Coturnix japonica: one gene and its partners. The protein of the gene in region 4 interacts with the protein of the main gene of each other region in a pairwise test. Links are inferred from orthologs where the notes say so. Each region holds a gene or a part of one and is shown on either strand. Other genes may lie near its edges. The genes, in order: ATXN1, USP53, PTPN4, CRK and PPFIBP2.

Evidence for each region.
Region 1: the proteins of CRK (region 4) and ATXN1 interact in binary tests that used the Homo sapiens proteins (3 or more experiments, as listed by UniProt). The link is inferred for Coturnix japonica from reciprocal best matches to the Homo sapiens genes CRK and ATXN1.
Region 2: the proteins of CRK (region 4) and USP53 interact in binary tests that used the Homo sapiens proteins (3 or more experiments, as listed by UniProt). The two-hybrid records come from large-scale screens. The link is inferred for Coturnix japonica from reciprocal best matches to the Homo sapiens genes CRK and USP53.
Region 3: the proteins of CRK (region 4) and PTPN4 interact in binary tests that used the Homo sapiens proteins (3 or more experiments, as listed by UniProt). The link is inferred for Coturnix japonica from reciprocal best matches to the Homo sapiens genes CRK and PTPN4.
Region 5: the proteins of CRK (region 4) and PPFIBP2 interact in binary tests that used the Homo sapiens proteins (3 or more experiments, as listed by UniProt). The link is inferred for Coturnix japonica from reciprocal best matches to the Homo sapiens genes CRK and PPFIBP2.

Annotation. Positions count from the first base shown.
Region 1 is NC_029517.1:67,238,884-67,242,940, reverse strand, and holds the start of ATXN1 (ataxin-1), read right to left. Parts: upstream 2,801-4,057; 5' UTR 2,461-2,800; intron 1,931-2,460; exon of another isoform or gene 1,687-1,930; intron 1,656-1,686; exon of another isoform or gene 1,184-1,655; intron 1-1,183. UniProt on the Homo sapiens protein: Chromatin-binding factor that repress Notch signaling in the absence of Notch intracellular domain by acting as a CBF1 corepressor. Binds to the HEY promoter and might assist, along with NCOR2, RBPJ-mediated repression. Binds RNA in vitro.
Region 2 is NC_029519.1:49,032,569-49,036,513, forward strand, and holds the start of USP53 (inactive ubiquitin carboxyl-terminal hydrolase 53), read right to left. Parts: upstream 2,801-3,945; 5' UTR 2,668-2,800; intron 2,535-2,667; exon of another isoform or gene 2,151-2,534; intron 1-2,150. UniProt on the Homo sapiens protein: Deubiquitinase that mediates 'Lys-63'-linked deubiquitination of tight junction proteins, such as MARVELD2 and LSR, and which is involved in the survival of auditory hair cells and hearing.
Region 3 is NC_029522.1:21,505,578-21,509,090, forward strand, and holds part of PTPN4 (tyrosine-protein phosphatase non-receptor type 4), read right to left. Parts: intron 420-3,513; coding exon 260-419; intron 1-259. UniProt on the Homo sapiens protein: Phosphatase that plays a role in immunity, learning, synaptic plasticity or cell homeostasis. Regulates neuronal cell homeostasis by protecting neurons against apoptosis.
Region 4 is NC_029534.1:3,973,275-3,977,377, forward strand, and holds the start of CRK (adapter molecule crk), read left to right. Parts: upstream 1-1,300; 5' UTR 1,301-1,429; coding exon 1,430-1,673; intron 1,674-4,103. UniProt on the Homo sapiens protein: Involved in cell branching and adhesion mediated by BCAR1-CRK-RAPGEF1 signaling and activation of RAP1.
Region 5 is NC_029520.1:11,725,895-11,729,407, reverse strand, and holds part of PPFIBP2 (liprin-beta-2), read right to left. Parts: exon of another isoform or gene 3,500-3,513; coding exon 3,467-3,499; exon of another isoform or gene 2,947-3,466; coding exon 2,808-2,946; intron 2,276-2,807; coding exon 2,147-2,275; intron 1,605-2,146; coding exon 1,454-1,604; intron 1,291-1,453; coding exon 1,179-1,290; intron 481-1,178; coding exon 392-480; intron 1-391. UniProt on the Homo sapiens protein: May regulate the disassembly of focal adhesions. Did not bind receptor-like tyrosine phosphatases type 2A.

The DNA of each region.
Region 1 (4,057 bases), on a different chromosome or scaffold from region 4:
TTTGCTCTGAGACCAATACTTTCGCATCCTAATGTTTCAATCAGTTGCTTTTCAGGTGAGCGCATCTAACGTCTATTTTCTTAATTAAGATGAAACTAGGCCACTGGATCTATTACATAAAAATGTTCGTTAAGTGCAATTCCAGGCCTCTTGTAAATGTCTCTTACAATAAAAGACCGGTTCCTTCAGCCTCTCCGAGTAAATCACAGCAGGGCAGGGAGAAGAGATGCGGTGAGAAGTTGCCGGCACCGTGCACTGCCCAGGGGCTGCCGGGGAGCTCCGGTGCTCCTGATCTAGTAAATGTGTATGTTTGGTGGCCCTGCCAGGCAGGGGGTTGGAACTACATGATCCTTGAGGTCCCTTCCAACCCGGGTCATTCTGTGATGCTGTGATTGTGTGTGTGCTTCACGGTGCCGGCAGCTTCTCACCGCCGAGATGCGAAGTGCTCCGGGCTGCGCTCCGTAGCAGCGTGGACGCACGTGGCTAACGCGGCACCTCCAGGGGGCAAAAAAAATCCCACGTTGCTTTTTGCCGTGGTAAGATATTGGGAAAACGATGGCTGCAGGCAGCGGATCAGCGCCTGAGCTCTGCTACTCTGCTCTGCGCCTGGCCGGAGTCCAACGAGCGGAGCTACCCCAGATATACACACGGTGTGCGCGGCTCTCAAGCAGCCCCTGGAGCCGCTCCAGGCCCGCGGCATTACGACTCAGCGCCACATTCGGTGCCTGCACGAAGCGACGCCTGCGCCCGTGTGCGGGCAACGAGGGGAAGGGCCGGCATGAGCTGCTCCGGGAGGGCAGGAGCCGCACTGCCCGCTCCAACACGGCAACACGCCGTACGGGGCGGAAAGTTTCGCTCTCTGCTGTATGTTAACGAGCACAAACGCAAAGTGGTATCAATCGGAATATCAGCAACGAGCCGCGTGGCGATGTTTATACGATATGCCCCCTCGGGTTTGTTCACCGAGGGCAAAGGAAGCCGGCTGCCCCTCAGCGCACAGCTCCTTGCTCACGTTCCCAGCGGTACCAACAATTCCCGGCCCTACGGAGCCGGGCTGGGTGCGAGGAGCAGCGGCAAAGTTTCCGTGCTCCCGCAGCGCCCTGACGGAGCCGCTGTGCGGTGCCTCCCCCCGTCCCTGTCCCCGCACCCCGCACGGAGGCGGCGGGGCTCACGGCGCGCACACCTGAGCGGCCGGGGCTGTCTGTTGCCATAGCAGCGCTCTCTCATCGTTCGGCGGAGCGGGGCCGGGCGGTCTCCGAAGGGCTGCGTGAAGGGCCCGGGCCCGCACCGCCGCGGAAGGGCTCGAAACCGAAATTAAAAGCCCTCATTGCGCCGCCGCACGCACGGACGGACGGACAAACAGCCCGCGGCGCCCGGCACCGAGCGGGATGTCCCCCCACACGGCTCGGCCCGGCGCTGCGCTCCGTGCGGTCAGCGGCGCCCAACCAGCCGCCGCTCCCCGCATTATATAACGGCTTCCGACTTGTTTGCTCCTCCGTCAGTGCCGCTCGGTAATTCCTCCTCTGCGCTCCCCGCTCCGTCGCGTTCTTATCGCTATTACAGCGGGCGCTGACGTTTCGCAGCGCGTTTAATTGAGACTTCGATACCCCCAGGAATCGCGCTCGCGGATCGCGGCGTCCGCGTCCCTACCGGGGTGGGGGTGGGGTAATAGCGAACGACACCGACCCGACCCCGAGCTCCGGCCGGGGTTAAAGTGGCGCTGCCCCGCGGCCCTCCCGCCCGCGCTCCCCCGGCGGCGGTACCGGGCGTTGTCCGCAGGCGGCCTGGGCCCCGACAGCAGCGGCGCGGGGCGGCCGCCGGCCACATCCCCGTCCCAGCGCCGCCTCCTCCGCCGCCCGCTCGCTTCATTCACCCTCAGCGGCCGCCCAGCCCCTACTACATGCGCCGTGCGGCCCGGCCGCGGCCCCCCCCCTCCTCTCTCCCACACACACACACACACACACACACACACGGAGGGGCCGTGTCACCACCCCGTCACGCACCGCACCGCCACACACACACACACACACACACACACATCTACACATACACACCCGGCTACAAACACACACCCCGAGGCCGCCGCTCGCAAAATGTCCACCCTGCCGGCGGGGTGAGGGAGAAGGAAGGAGGAGGAGGAGGAGCGGGAGGGCCGTGCGAGCCCCGGCCCCGGGCCCAGGCCGCTGCCCTCGGCCATGTCGCGGCCCCCGCCCGGGCCGGGCCCTGAGGCCGGGCCGCAGCGCTGCCCCCCCGCACACACATATACACACACACACACACATATACACACACACACATACACACATATACACGCACAGAGCCGCCCCCAGCCCCGTGTTTTTCCAGCCGGGAACCGCGGGCGGCTCCGCAGCCCAAACAAGGGGAGAAGCCGGGGGAGGAGGAGGAGGAGCGGGGGGGGTGGAGGGGCAGAAAGCAGAGGAGGAAGAAAAAGGCACTTACTGTAAAGTGTCAGTGGAGGTGGGGCTGGCGGGGGGGGTCGGACTGAGACTCGAGCACCGCCGTCCTCCCGGGGTGGGGGTCTGCGGGTGTGTATGTGTGTGTGTGTGTGTATATGTGTGCGTGTGTATGTGTGTGTAAGTGAGGGCTCCTTCCCCCGCGGGGACACGCTCCGGGCTGCTCCGGCGCTGTAGTAGAAATGATGTCTGCAGTACAGCGCTCGCTGCCGCTCCGCTCTCCAGTATGTAAATGTGTAATAGAAGCCAAATATGGAGCAGTTGGCTGCCTCTGCAACAGCTCAAGGATCCTACTTCACGCGAAAGGGGGGGGCGGGGGGGAGGAGGAGGAGGAGGAGGAGGCAAGGCAGCACTCTGGCGGGCGGCCAAGAGAGCCACACAGATTATTGCATACGCTCAGCACCGCCGGGGCCGCCGGCCTTAACCCTTTGGAGGCCGCCCGGGGCCGAGCCGCCCTCCTCCTCCTCCCCCCTTTTTACCCCCCCAGCCCGGCCGTTCCTCGCCCCGACGCCCGCTGTGCTGAGGGACGCACCGGCGGGCACCGGGAGGGACGCGCTGCCCAGCGGGGGGAGCAGAGCGGGGCCAGGATGCGGGAGCGGCGGCCTCGGCCGGGCTGTCGCTAAGGGAGGAAATAAACCCGAGCCAGGGACGGCTCGGAGGCAGCGCCGTGAGAGTCAGGGGAGGGTGATTTTATTTAAGATGCCATATTGCGTTTTGCCGTTCAAAGCGTCGTAGCGCAGGAGCCCGCATCCCACTCCCGTTTTCTGAATTAGTTTTATTTTTCCGGATCCTTGGCGTATGCTCGAGTTGCTTTGTAGAGAGTACCTTCCACTTCATTCAGACCAAAGAGGCTCTGACTCATTCCGTCGCCGCACTACGAGGCGGGCAGGGCTGCACCACGCATGTTTGGGTACTCGCTCCCGCTGCGCTCCTCGTACGCGCTCCGGCACAATCCTCGCTCGTCTCTCCCGGCTGCGCGCAGACCACTGCCCGCCTCTCCCCGAATAAATGAATGGGAGGAACACAGGCACGGGACGGCGTCTGCTCTGCTTGCTGGCAACCCGACTGCCGCGCAGGGAACCGCTCGCTCTGCTTTGGCATCAGGAAGGCACGCACGGCGCCGGGAAAGCCTCTCCCCATCCCAAAGTCACCACACGAAATGCTGCATAAACCCCCAAGGCTGGGTCTCAGCTCCAGAAGGGCTCCGAGAGCAGCACGTGCGCTCCCTGTGCCGTGGCTGCCCAGAGCGGGCTGTTGTTTGAGCCTCTTCCAATCCCCCCCCCCCAGCACAGCTGTGAGCTCCGAGCAGATGTCTGTAGTGCCGATGTGTCACGTGTGTGTCCACAGGTAGTACCGCTGTGTTTCAGCATTGGATCTAGCGTTAGTCTGGATGCAAAAGACCCTAGGGCTCTGTCAGTATGCAGATCAGCAAAGCAGTCCCTTCTATGAATGACTGTACTCGTCCTCTATATTTCCTAGAGAATGTGCTAACAACATGGTAATCTGCACAGCTCATGACTGAGAGTTGGTACTGTCTTATAGACCGGCTTTATGAGCACAAGCATATTTTAACAGTGCAACTT
Region 2 (3,945 bases), on a different chromosome or scaffold from region 4:
CTGGTTGTGTTTAAGAGCTGTTTGGACGTGGTGCTCAGGGATATGATTTAGTGGAGGGTTTTTAGAGTTAGGGTACTGGTTAGGCTTGGTTGGACTTGATGATCTCTCCAAGGTCTTTTCCAACCTGGGTAATTCTATGATTCAGTATTTGAAACATCAGATAGAGCAAAAAACCTTTCATTACTAAGAGCACATACTCGCAAGACATGATTTGCAACAAGAACATTTCTAAAACCAATTAAATCGCATCTCCGGCTGTGCCAATTAGCCCTGATTTCATGGGGTAACGGCAGGCACAGCAGCAGTACTATTGGGCTGGCACATTCCTTCTACCTCTCAACACTGGCTCAGAAAGTCCCCAGGAGACAGAAGCGTTATTTCACAGCCTTCTCTCTTGAAATACTTCCACCCAAAGTCTGAAGACTTTAGAACCAAACTTCTATTTTAAATATCTCCATTGTCTCTCCTCTTGCCCACATCCATTTAGCGGTCCCTCAAAAGCTACATCACTGCTCTGTGATGTCAGACTTATTCATATCCTTTCAGGATGGGAGAATCAGAAGCGTAGATGCTATCACAGATGGCTCCTGTTAAAAGCATACAATTTTTTCTTTAAACTGTTCCAATGAAAACTTTCCTGTTTGCATCTAAAAGAAAACAACAGGTTCACAGCAGCATCTCCCAACTGTCGCAACTAGGAACTGACTTTAGAAACAGCCACAATGGCAACACTGAGGAAAGATCTTAAAGACAAATTCCCAAGACATGACACGAGCCAGCATTTACAGTGAATCATCAAGCATAGAAACTCACACTAATGAATGCAGATGGAGAAGTAGGACAGAAGCAGCAGAGAAGGCAGCAGAGTGTCTCGCCTGTAAAAAATGTAGAGCCCAAATGCCCTAAAGCAGCAAGTTATCTTTGAGTTTTCTCATACGAGCATTCCTCCCTGCTGAATTCAAGTATCAGCATATGTTAAATACAAGACCCACCAAGGTACCGAACCAACCTGAAGGTGTTGAAACCCCCAGAGTGCTATTCCTGACTATCCTTCCTCACTGACAGCTCACGAACACACGGAGACACATTCTTAAACACAACAACAAACTACAGAGATTTTTGTTTGACGGCTTCTCAGTCATTTCTGAAGTGTTTTGTTCTCTGGAATGTTTGATAATTACCAGATGTGAAAAACATCAAGTTTCTATTTCTTGCCCCAAAGCTCGCTTTCTACAACCCTTCTTCCTCAGCCCACGCAGCTTAAACACCAACAAGTCCATAACCTTGGTACAGCTTCAGCACATCAATGTTTCACCGTGCCCTGCCAAAATCCAAAGTGCTTCCACTGCAGCCAAAAAAGCATTTCTGAAGAAGCTTTTGAACAGGCTTCACTCCTGTTGCTGTGCCCCTCAACTGACACAGATTTTTACTGCATCCAGCACCAATAACTGAGGAAAAACCATACAAGTGTTGCAATCGAGACCTTGGAAAACAATGTAACTGAAACGTGACAGCACTAACATTGACCCTGAAGCCTCGTGGATCCCACAAACAGACGATTCTTCCTGCTGTACACCATGTATCCTTTATATCTAAAGATTCTGCACTATCAAGTTTGGATAGTAAAATCAAGTACAGTTTTGGTGTTTTTCCTATCAGCATCTCACCGGTCCAGGGTAAAAACTTTTTACAGAAGTGAGTTGATATTAAAAATCCTGACAAACAGTAACTACATCCTACATTGCAGCACTGTTAAGGTAGAAGATCACTTGTTCTTTCTTTAGAGCAACGTGCATTCAGATCATAACAAACTCTCGCTGTTTCCATAGCCAAAGTCATCACTTCACGAGAGGACAACACGGGGACAACAGGAGAAGGGGCTGCACATCAGCAGTCCGGCACAATCCATTCACACGATCCAATATTTGCTCTTATAAAACCCCAAAACTTCAAAGCAAAACACGTGCAAAACAAGGGGTTAAAAGCAGACACATAAAACCCACACTTACTTCGGGAAGAGAAAAATACGCGCTGAGAAAACAAGGTATCACCTCTGGAAAGTATCTTTTAACGTATTTGCATTGAAAATCAAAGCAAGAGACAGTCGGAGCGACGGATGCCGAGCAGTTTGCATGCAGCCAGACACCCACCTGCACCCGGAGCGCTGCTCGTGCGGCTGCAAACGCTGGGAACTGATTAAATTTCACCGAGTTCCACGCTACCTGCACCGGCATTTCCTGTTCCAAACACTCCGAAAACACTCCGGCGGAGCTCGCTGACGGGCATGTGACTACGGCGTTAAACATTAACTTCTGGCCCTCAGCGAGACAACCCCCGAACTCAGCCCGTCCCGCGCGCGGTCCGCGTACTGCTCGGAGCCGAATCGAGCCGTGCCGGCCTAACGCCGCTTACACAACCCGCCCAGCGGGGACAACGCGGTGCGGAGCGGAGCGGCCGCCGTTGGCCCCGGGCTGCGTCCAGCCGCTCCGCACCGCTGAGCACACGGCGGTTCTACCCCTCACAACGGCCCCGCGCGGGACGGGACCCGCGGCCGCCCGCCGCCCTCGGGCGAAGCAGCCCCCGCACAGCCCGCCCCATCCCGGCCGGTGCGGGCGAGTCCTCCCACCCCTCCCCAGCTCGGCTCCTCCGGGGCACCCCCCGCCTCACCTCCCGTGTCCGGCGGCACCCTCCGTAGGCTCCTCTCTCGCCCCCTCCCGGCGGAGACTCCAGCCGCCGCCCCGCCCTCACGGCAACTTTTGCTCCCCCTCCCGCCGCCGTCCCCTCCTCCGTCTCCCCGCGTCTCGCCCTGCGGGGCGGCGCGTGCGCGTGCGCCCACCCCGCCTCGGGAGCCGCCTCCGCCCAGCTGGGCGATGCGCACGCGCAGTGGAGCGGCGCCGTGGCCGGGACGGACGGGATCCCGGCGCCAGGAAGCGGGAGGAGGGAGCGGGAGCGGGGCGCATGCGCAGTAGGCTGGGCGCTGCCCGAGCCCTTCGTGACTTCGGGGTTTGGTGGGCATGGGGTGCGCGCCGTACAGCCCGCTGTGCTGAATGAACGTGGGGAGGAGGCTGCAGGGCGGCCTGTCGTGCTGCACTGTGAAGCCTTGGGGCTGCAGCAGCCCTTCCTTCCCCGTTCCCTTAGTGCCGTTCTCAGCACATCGCCTGCGTGCGAAGGGCGTGCTTACCCCGTGTGTAGAAGCAGCGCAAGCCGTGCCCCAGGTAACTGTGAGGGAGCGGCTCTGAGAGCTGCGGGTTGCAGGGCAGGAAGCCTGTGTTGGGGCTGTTCCAAACCACCGGTTTTTCGTGTTAATAACCTGCTCAAAAGAACGGGGCAGCCGTTGCTTTTCCAGCAATTGTTCCCCGGTGCTCCTTGCAGGATATCTGTCCGCACGTGGGCCCGGCTGAAGGTGCCTATGAGGGAACGCAGGCACAGGGCTGCTGCTGGGCTGAGGGCGGCTGTGCGGGCCGACCCCGAGCACACACACATCCCGAGCACACACATACACCCCGAGCACACACATCTAGAGCACATACACATCCCGAGTACACACATCCCCAGCACACACACATCCAGAGCACACACACATCCCAAGCACACACACACCCCGAGCACACACATACACCCCGAGCACACACATCTAGAGCACACACACATCCCGAGTACACACATCCCCAGCACACACACATCCAGAGCACACACACACCCCGAGCACATACATCCCGAGCACACACACCCCGAGCACACACATCCCGAAGCTGCGTTGCATCTCAGTGCACGTTGCACTCGCAGACCCTGCACTGTATCACCTAAAGAGCTGCCCTTGGGTCATTACCCCAGTCGCGTTCCTATTATTTTATCTGCTGTATTATTTTGGGGAGGGAGGGGTGCTTCCTTTTGTTATTTGCGAAAGGAATGGTTTGTTCATGAGTACTTGTATTTCTAGTCACT
Region 3 (3,513 bases), on a different chromosome or scaffold from region 4:
TAAAGCGAGTTCCAAAAAAACACTATTGAAAGTTATTTTTGTCCATTTGGTACAGATAACTGAATACCGGATGACCTGAGTAGTTGTTTTTCTAAACAGAACTTCACTGTGACTCAGGTAAGCATGAAAAGATGATCCTACGAAATGCTGCAATGTAATGCACAAACTTCGCACATCCCTGAAAACAAAATCAAGCTTACAAGGAGTAGAATCATTCAAATAAAAAGCAGGATAATTAAACCAGATCTAAAAAACTTACTGTGGACTTTTCAGGAGATACAGGGACATCAAATGTTTCATTGATGTGGTTATCCAGTTCTTGCTGTGAGTGTGAATGATGAATTTGGTTCCAACTGTTCTTTTTAAATTGTTTGGGTGGTAATGCAGGAGGCTGCCCATCTATAGGAGTTTCTTGAGATCTAAACACCAAAATACAAGAAGTACGAAGTATAAATTATTAGATACTGATGGCGCTTTAAGGATTCCAAGTAAACTAAACAAACTGCTTAGAGAGACTATGAGTTGGAGACCTGAAAATATGTATATGTTCTCATAATCTCAAAAATGTGCTGCTGCAGTTGAACAGACTGGAAGTGTGGGCTTGGCAACGTTAGTAATTTTTTTCTTGAAAAGCAACTGTAAGTAACTGAACCAGTAGGTTTCACTTTTACGTGGCTGGTTTTTGTTTGTTTTTAAAATAAAAACCCCAAGGTTCCAGCACATTTAATGTTTACAAACTATAACACTCACCATATTTATGCTGTATGCTCCAGCTAAAAAATACATATCTAAAATGCATAACAATTAAAGTGCTTTCCCCAATAAGACTTTCAGTGAGTTTTAACACCGTTACTGAAAATGAAATGGCAGAAACTTCTATTTCTGTTTAGCTCTGCAAGCACTGTACTGCAGATTAACAAAGAAGTCCTGTGTTTACATGCAATACGGATAATTTCCTTTATTAGTCCCTTTGAAATAAAAGCTTAACTGTATAATTCGTATTACATAAATATATGATTCATCTTTCATTACATGGCACTGTAGGTTTTTAGAGGCTCAAAAAGGCAGTTAGCACATAGCTCTCCCATTAACCTCGTCTGAATGCCAGTTTCTAACTACCAACACGGATACATGCCTTCCTCCCCATGAACCACATTAAAAGATATTAAGTAATTTCACTACTTGTGACAACAGCCCACTGAGACTAGTGGCAAATCCAAAAGCCACAAGGAATGAAGTTACCGGTTACAGCTAAACCTATGAGCATGCTACCACCAAAAGTGAGTGCTGCTCTTCTTCATCTGCTCCTCATGCCCCCTTCCCTGCATTGCTCCAGTGATCTCCCCTTGGCCAACCCAGCTCACCAAACAAGCCAAAGCTGTGACTTTTTGGACAAGCCTGGGTAGCTTGCTGCTGGATCAACTAAGTGAACTGACTAATCTCCAGGTGGAGGGAAGGAAATACACTCCCGCAGGCCATACATAGGACACTGTTCCTTATCAGCACTGTTGTGTGAGGAGTACTACTATAGTTACTATGGGGCTTGCTGCAATAAACTGGTAGCAGAGGGGGAGACTCATTAGAAGAGAGCACAGCATTTCAAGCTGCTGCAAGTAGTAAAAACTAAGGCAGTAATATAAATATATTTATATAAATATAAATCCTAATATTGTATTAGGTGTTTTTGCTTAACCTCAACTTTTGGAAAATAAATGTTTTTTGTGACACAACTATCTTGGGGAATTGACTAAGAAGTTGGTTTTTGGTTGGTTTTTTTTTTTTCAGAATAAGTAGTTTTTCCTCAAGATAGTTTATTGGAAAGAGAAAAAATATGATTGTCAACATCTGCAAAATGAATTTTTCAAGGCTGCTGTAAATTATGTAGACATTCACTTGTAAAGGTCACCCAGAGCTGTTCAGCTGCCCATGTATTTATACATTCAGGTCCGTGAGGCACAGGTTATTCATCCTTTTCAAGACAAGGGCAACACAGTTACATATCTGCCTGAAAACAATTACTCCTGAGAGTTCTAAACGGAATGAAAAAGGAATGGAAAACCTTTGTGAAGACACAAAAGCATCCAGATAAAAGTAAAAGATAGAACCCTATGTTTGACTGGACGCCTGTAAGTATGTCAGCAAACACAAATAAATTCCCAAAGAAAATACGAACTTATAGAAAAGAATTGAAAAGTTACTCAGATGAGCATTTTAGTAGAAGCAAGACAAGCGCTGTAATGTATTAGCATAATGAATTGTGAGAACTAACAATCAAGCCTTGGGCAAAAACTTCATTGCTTTGTATTTGCCCAGTCAGCTTTGAATCTCCTTATGAATGCTCAGACAATGGCCATGAAAGCAGCCTGCTTGGCAGGCAAAGGAGCTCTCTGTTACTGCATTCATCCATTTACATAATAATAGAATAACCCATAAAACCTCACACTGACAATCTCTGTGTATTTTTGTTACAGATATCCGGCCTGACCTTTTAATAAATTAAGCAAACACTTCGTACCTATAGCCATAAGGTTATTAAAATATACATCACGTGCCTTTCGAAGTTAAGTTTATCATTAACTCAGTATGCTATGAGCACAAAGAACTCAGTTCTGAATAACACATGTAGCTGAAGACAAAAAGACAGAATTAAAGACTGGATTATCTAAGCAAAAATCTCCTAATACGCACTGGATAACTGAGTTCTTTGGCTATATTGACTCCAAATCATGAGATCACTGTACTGACCATCAGGTTAGATCCTCTTACTTGCTTTTCTATATAAATTTGATCTACATATATGAATTCCCAGTAAATTAGCAGATGCACTGTTTGAACCTGCTAACTCAGAAGGGCCAAAATGTTTAAGTAGTCGATTTTTGGACAACAAAATCATTTTATTTACATGTTTAATATACATTTAATTACTCTACCACTTTTATTCATAAATGTAAAAGCTTTAACCAACACCATACTCTGAAAGTTTCAGAAGAATCTTTGAGGATTCATATTTTGACAGTCAATTTCCTTATTCTAAAAAATATCTCACGCTAAGTAATTACAGTGGGAGATTAAATTGCACTTTCAAACTTCTGAATAGGAAAAGCAATACTTCTTTTTTTTTTTTTTTCTTTTAGGGAATAAAAAACGTGCAAACCATGAAAAAGAACACTCATTGCTGCATAACTAATTTGCAAAAACACTTCCTCTCTTTTTAAGACTCATTTCTATGGTGACTCGCACAGGAAGTCAGGTATTAAATTAACAAATCCAAAGGACATTCAGGAACACATTCTACAACTTAATTTAGAATAAAGGCATACGAATAAAGGTACGTTTTGGAATTTCACTTATTTTGCTGTTTAAATCTACCACTCAAGATTTTCTCTTAACTGACTTGATTGTCTTAGAAGGGAATGCATGTGACAGCGCGGCTTCACTACAGCCAAATTCAAGCATGAAACAAGATTTACAAGTGTTCAAATTTTTGAGACTCCCTCGTCACACAAGCAAGTT
Region 4 (4,103 bases):
GCCTCCCACCTGTAAGATAGAATATTTTTCCATTGGGATACTGTGAAGGTTCATACAAAACACAATACCAAAGCCACTCCATGAGACAGTCACAGGGCTTCCCAATGCCTCACAAGAAAGCAAAGGTGCTGTGAGCCAGCACATGCACTTGCACAGTTAAGGGCAGCTGTGCTCCATGTTTATGCAAGTGCTGCCACATGGAGGCCACACAGTTGAAAATACACATTCCTTTGGGGGAAAAAAAAAAGCTTATAGAATTGAGCAGAGCTGGAATGGAATTGTCTATGCAGTTATCCAGACTCTGAAGATGTTACTCTGGAACTTGAAGCTAATCTAAACTTGGTACCTATTTCTCCATCCTTATAATTCTTAATGGTGCATACACCCACATGCACATTCCCCTGCAGCAGAAATGGAAGTGAAGCAACTTTATCTGCAGGCTCCTGCGGTCAGTGATCTTCTCAGGGTCAGAAACAGCTTGTTTTTCCACAGGGCTCTACTTAACACAGAACATCTCCCTGGGAAGGGTTTTCCAGTGGTTTTCCATGCAAACAGCTGTGAGGCAGGAAAATGCAGCTGGCTGGGAAGGTGAAAGCACCAACTGCAGGTGGCAGCTTCTCTCTGAAGGAAAAAAGACAATGAATTGAATCCTCAATGGAGGGACAGGAAGATGATCAGGGGCTGGAGCACCTCCCCTCTGAGGACAGGCTGAGGGAGTTGGGTTTGTTCAGCCTGGAGAAGAGAAGGTTGCGGGGTGACCTCATTGCAGCCTTTCAATACCTGAAGGGAACCTATAACCAGGAGGGGAGTAAACTCTTGGAAAGGGCTGACAATAGCAGGACACGGGGAAATGGTTTGAAGTTAAAAGAGGGAAGATTTAGGTTGGATGTCAGGGGGAAGTTCTTCACTAGGAGAGTGGTGAGGCCCTGGAACAGGCTGCCCAGGGAGGTTGTGGATGCCCCGTCCTTGGAGGTGTTCAAGGCCAGGTTGGACGGGGCCATGGGCAACCTGATCTAGTAAAGGTGTATGTTTGGTGGCCCTGCCAGGCAGGGGGTTGGAACTACATGATCCTTGAGGTCCCTTCCAACCCGGGTCATTCTGTGATCCTGTGGGTGCCCAGACGGACCCTCCGCACTCACAATCAGGTCTCACCTACAAGGCAGCACACACACAGCTCCCCTCAGACCCTGCGCTCCACCCAACGCGCATGCGCAGCCCCCACAGGCCGCCAACCGTCCCCAAGGCCGCGCGTTGTGATGACGTCACGTATCCCCCCGCGTCTCCCGCGTGCGGTCACTTCCGGTAGGTGAGGTCAGGGTAGGGGCCGCCATTTTGGTGCGGTAGGGCTGGGCGCGGAGCTGGGCACCGCGGGCGGCGGCGGCCCGCGGGGCGGGGGCAGCGAGTGCGGCCTGCGGGCGGGACGGCCCCCATGGCCGGGCAGTTCGACTCCGAGGACCGGGGGAGCTGGTACTGGGGGCGGCTGAGCCGGGCCGAGGCGGTGTCGTTGCTTCAGGGGCAGCGCCACGGGACCTTCCTGGTGCGAGACTCGGGCACCATCCCCGGAGACTTCGTCCTGTCGGTGTCTGAGAGCTCCCGCGTGTCGCACTACATCGTCAACAGCCTGGGGCCGGCGGGAGGACGAAGGGCCGGCGGAGAGGGCCCCGGGACCCCGGGTGAGTGACCCCCAGGGCTGGCCGTGCCCATCAGCCGCTGCGGGCCCCGCTCTGCGCCTGGTCCCTGCAGCTCCGCTCTGCTCACGGCCGGGTCTGAGAGTCGTGGTGGAGTCGTGTTGTGTTGGAGTCGTGTTGCTCTTTGTAGAGGACTTAATTCAATCTCGCCTTGCAGCCGTTTCCCTGCACCTGCCTCGCATCTAAACGATGGGACAGAGCGCAGCCCGGAGCCGTCACACTTTTACAGCTTTATGCCTTCTTTCGTTTTGTTTTAATTTGTGGGTGAGGTGTGTCAGCGTGGAGATGGATCCCTGGAAGTGTCAATTCAAAGGTTGAATTGGGTTGGAATAGTTGAGAGTTAAGAGGACAGATTGTGAGGCTAAACTTAGTCGTGAATCAAAGCTGGGTGGGAGCAGTGTAAAGGCGTTTGTTCCTTTAGATCAGATACGGAATTCAGGGTTCCCCCTCCTACACACACCTTGTGTTGTAAAGGGAGATTTGATGTTATTCCTCATCAACCTCTAATACAAACATAATGTACTTAAGTTAACCCTTGAAGTGTTGCTTTTGCATTGCAGAAAGCAATGATTCTGAACGCACAAGTGACCTGGAGCCTTCAGCAATGTATAATCTATCGATGTGTGATGAGAAGGTTGAATTAAGCAGCAGCCCTGATGGGGGCATTGCTGATGTTGGCGGTGGAGCCGCTCCTGTCTGGATGTTAATGCTCACAGAATGATGTGGGCGAATTGCTGGCATCTCTGAGAAACCACTACAAAGTCTGGAAGGCTGTATAATAAGGCTGTGTAATAGGAGAGCTAATGAACCTGACGAGGAGTGAAGTTAGGACATAGGTTGCTACAGAGACAGAAAGGCTGTGCAGACTGTAGTTGATAAAGAAGGAATCTGTTGGTGGTGGGTGGGTTTGCACCATTCTACAGTGATCTCTCCTGATTGGGGTAACGTTTAGAATTGACAAACTGGGGAAAGCCTGAAGTCATTGGGTTCATCACAGGAATCTGCCGCTGCTGTAAGGTGTGCTTCAGTCACACAAAGCTCTGCAATGCAGGAGATAAAGGTGGCTGCATTGAACTGGAAGCGAAGCGGGTAGTGAAGTGGTTTACCACAAGATACATTCGGTTCCTCAGCGTTTCATGTCTTATCAAGGCAAAGGTTTATTTTCATAGGTTGATGTGTGAAACGTGTGGTTGTTACACAGAGCAGAATAAGCTTCTATGGTGATTTGTAGTGGAGTCCATCCTGAGCTTTATTACTTTTTGGAAGTCCACTTTTTCCCCACCTTGATGTTATTGGAATAGGTGCTGCTTTGCTTTCACACCAAAGGTATTTTTGTGCTGAAATTCAAGTGGGTTTAAATGAATGTCATGCTGATGCTGTGCGCTTTTCACGCTCAAAGGAAGAAAGTGTGTGTGTAGTAAGTTACGTTTAACCTGTAATTAAGAATTTCCTCCAGGGAGAAATGTTCTTTAAAGGAAGGGACGTGCTATTATTGCTATAAGGTTGAAGATGATTTCAGGTTTGGATGGGGAAGGTAGTGCAGTGAAATGAGGTAAATGTTCACAAGTAGCTATTTTGGAAAAACCAACTTTACCATGTCAGTTTTCTATATGGTCTACTTATTTTTATTGCAATTGATTGTTTGACAGATGCACACAACTCACTGGAAAGCCTAAATATGCCCGGTCAGGTTCCTGTGTTGATTTATTGGCTTCAGGTGATTGAAATGCATGTGTGATTTGTGACTGCTTGTACCCTGCTGTGTGCAGGTGACAGTAGGAACCTGACTTTAAACCCATCACGTCTTTGCAGTTTGACATACAAGGATAGGGCCGTGATGTCTGGTGTACACTCAAACATCTAAAGACATCAGGCCAGAAGCCTGAAAGCCTTAACGTTTTTCTTTATGACATAGAGAAGTGTGACAGAGTGGAAGGTGATGTTTTCAGTAAGTATTATGCGTCTTAAGAACGTGCTTATTGCGCTCCATTGTGATTTTCTGAAGGATTCAGGCTGCACTTCCTGGACTCATGTTTTTATAGAGCATTCCTGAGTGCTTGTCTCAGTAGTGAGCAGACAGGCACTGAAGAACAAGGAGAAGAAGGTGTCGGAATGAAGGTGGGGGAAACAGGCAGAAGGTTTTGCCTCTGTTGCAGAGTTGCTCTAGGAGGAAGGCTGTGATATGTTGCTGTGATGTGTTCAGAGTGAGAGCCTCGTGTCTCAGCACCCTGAACACCAAGAACAGCCTTTCTTTCCCCAAATGTGCTTTTGAAGATGGGGGTAGGGGTTTGTGGGGTGTGTCTAGAGATGAAATTGAAAACCTATATTCCTGTTAAGTCTCCCATGCCCTAAAAAGGAAAGCTTACCAAAGCTTAGGGATAAAGAGAAAACTGCCTAGTGGCACGGACGGGATGG
Region 5 (3,513 bases), on a different chromosome or scaffold from region 4:
ATTCTGTGATTCTACTAAGTAAATATAATGGGTGTATGTATTGTTTGTATTGCTGCTAATTTGATGAGAGCTGTACAAGTTACTGGATTTGTTGCTTACCCTTATATTACATAATGTTGTTGATAACTTAGTGAGGAGAACAAAACATTCAAGAAGCTGTGTGTAAACTAGGTCATTTTACTGTCAGTGTGTTATGTGGGACTGAAAGAAAAACTTCATGTGGAAGTCAGTTATAACACTGTATTACTATTCTTGAGGTGTGTAAAACAAGTAATGTTGCACTAAACAATACATAGAAGTTCCTACCTGTACTGTTTCTGGCTTGCAAAAAAAACTGCAATTCTTTGCTCATTATGAAGTTCAGAGTTTGGCAAAAAAGATTTGAGCTTACCACAGTTAAGTACTGCAGCATTCTCCCATCAACTCTGGACTCGTGAAACTGGTCTTTGTACTGAGGTAAACCAATATCATCAAGCCAGCCTGCAGGTAGAAAAACAATGGTGTATCCAAATCTCTGTCAGTGAGAATGAAGCCGGCTTCTTCTGAGGCACTCCAGTAGCTGTTCTACCTATTCACTTTCCAAAGGACATCCTCTTAACGGAACCTTAAAGCAATTTCCAGCAGCCAGCTTTGTCAACAATACCTCTGCTGTATTTTAAGTATGTACTTTGTGCAGTGTAATTTAGCTCTTGCTAGACTGAGACCTCCCACCCCTATTTATATTCATTCTCCCTCAAGAAGGATGGGCTGCCTGAGACACGTGCATGTTTGAGCAGTCACCAGGCATCTTTTTAAGAGCGCTAAGTTTCAACAGGACAAGTTATTTCATAGAACGATGATTTTTGTGCCATTCTGAACGTTCAAATAAAGATGCTGTTTTATAGAATGAACTTTGCATGGGAACTCTACCATTCAGATTGCAGCAAAGTTGTGGAGCAATTTGTGAAACACGGATGCCATCATCAGGTTATTACACGATATGTGCTTTATGAAGTATTCAACCCAGTGCTCTTTTACACTTGAGACTGTGCCGAATGTGCAGATAGACCCATACAGTCATCTGCTCGGAGAAAAATTCATCTGATGATTGATCTGAAAATACTTGAGTTTTCTGTTAATTCCTACTTCACTATACAAGAGAAACACAAACTTTTCTGTGTAATTCTTCAAGCACTTACGTGTCACCCAGATATGATCAAGTTGTGCAGACTTCTCATCTTGTTTTGTGTTTATTGATTTAATGGCCAAAACTAATTTCTTCCTGTGCAGTGGGTGCTTTATTCCCATTTCCTGTAATAATAATCATTAACAAATAGTTTAATGAGATGAGGAGAGCCAGAGGTAAAACAAACATGAAAACATTTCAAAGATGTAGAATTGCCCATTGTTGGAAGGGGCCTGGTTATACAGAAGCAACTGGAGTTTACTTAAGAGAAACAGGTACATGCATTACCTTTTCCATGTCCTGAGGTGTTGCAGTTAACAGTGTATGGCCTGAAGTCACCCACTGCCGGGCAAAAATGACGTACTGCCCAAGACCAAAGTCCTCAAGCCAGTTACAAACTCTTTCAGTACTCCACTGAGCGAATGGAGCATTGTAGTCACTGAAAAATAATAGAACTCATTAAAAGCCATAAAGGAAAGACGATGGAAATTATAAGGAAGACCATCACAGACTAGAGGAGATGCTACAGGCCAGGTCCCAGTGTGATCTGTATTGTGCAGTAATCAGCTCTAGCAGCCATTCTTGCAGTACATGCTGTGGTACAAGCATTTTCTAAATTTGACTGCCCAGCTTCCTCTACTGGTCATTTGAGGCAGGGCAGGAAGATAAAAGTTTCAAATAGAAATGGGAAAGGACAGAAAAAGGTAACTGCGGAATCTTGATGGCTGCAGATATTCCCCACAGGAGATGATGAGAAATTTTCTGGTGACATTTTGCTGCTGCTCCCTGCAGTTGAAGGAGTGCAGATGGGAAACTGCTTTGGCTACACTTTCTACCAGAGAAATTATTTCCAGTTGTGGAATTGAATTCCACGTGTAATTAAGTATGTTAATGCATATTTCAAATGAGGAACATTTTGCTGTTCAGTGTATTTAACAATACTATATTATACCTTGTGCAAAAGAAAAGAAAAACTGTTACCTTTTCTGGCCTTTGGTTTCCTTTGATCTGGATAACCGAGGTCCAGCTGTTGCACGGAGACCACCCCTTCGAAACTCTGCCAAACCCAGATCGTCTGCAGGGAAGTTACCAGACTGAGTTCTTCTTATCCTTTCAAAACAAGAGTGCCAAGACAGTGCTGTTAGCATCCGGCAGCAAACTGTTTCATATGGAAACTATAATGACAGCTAGAAGTTGTATTAATCTTCCTGTAAAGCACAAACATCTGATTCAAGCAGCAGCTGATGAAGTAGCAGGCAAACTGTCTAGACCTATCTCAGAAAAGAAAGAAAAGCTTTGCAAAGCAGCCATGACCCTTCAACTCAAATAATAATTCACATCAGAAGCCAGGCTTGTAAACGGCTGCAGTCCAAATAGAAGGAACACAGTAAAACTTGGTATTCTCAATTGTCAGCACAATAACACAGTAGAATATATAATTTCTTCAACTAGTGTGGCACTCTGAACCTTACCATCCGCTTTCCTCCACCCGTGTGTACAGACAGACACACCTATGCAATCAGAAAGCTGCTTTCCCTCCTTCTCCTGAGTTTCATTTTACACTTGCTGTATCTTTTCATGAGAACTGATTGAATTCTCAGTTTGAAATTCTGTGACAAGGAACTAAAAAACATGATCTTACTTTCCCCAGATTTTCTTGATCCCTTTTGGACTCTTTCTGTTTTCTAGAGACAGTGGAGACTGTGGACCCGAATCCGTTCCCGAAGAAAGAGGTGAAAGATCATCTGAGACTACTGTACCATCCATGTTCTCTGTTTCTCCTGGGTTAACAACAATAATTGTCAATAATTAGTACCAAATGTGACAAGGTTGTTCTATGGCAGACTAATTCTTAAAAAACATAAAGTACAGATAGCTGTAAAAATGTTATTGCATAAAAATAATATAAAAAAAAAGTAGTTGTGCTTTTGATACAAGAAAAAGTTACTATAATATTGTTTTTTCAGTTTATTTTAAAACCTTAATTCCAGATCTTGATCTGCTCTTGTGTTTCCTATTTTTAATAACAAAATTCATCTGTCACAATCAGCGGGAATTTTATTGTTGACTTCAGTGAAAGCAAAATAAGACCAAGAATAAATATCTTAAAAAACAACACCAAAATCCCGTCTGAATGCTATGCAGCTAAAGGTTTCATTTCAGTGCTAAACTTAAGGAGCTCAGTCTGGACTGTGCACTCAGTGTTAGTATTTTACAGAGAAGAGGAAGGGAGGGAAAAAGGAAAGGAAAAAATAAGCAGCAAAATTCACGTTCAAGTTGCATCTTGTTTGGATACGATACCTAGCACGGGTGCACTGACACTCCTGATGCGATCTTCAGTCATCCCA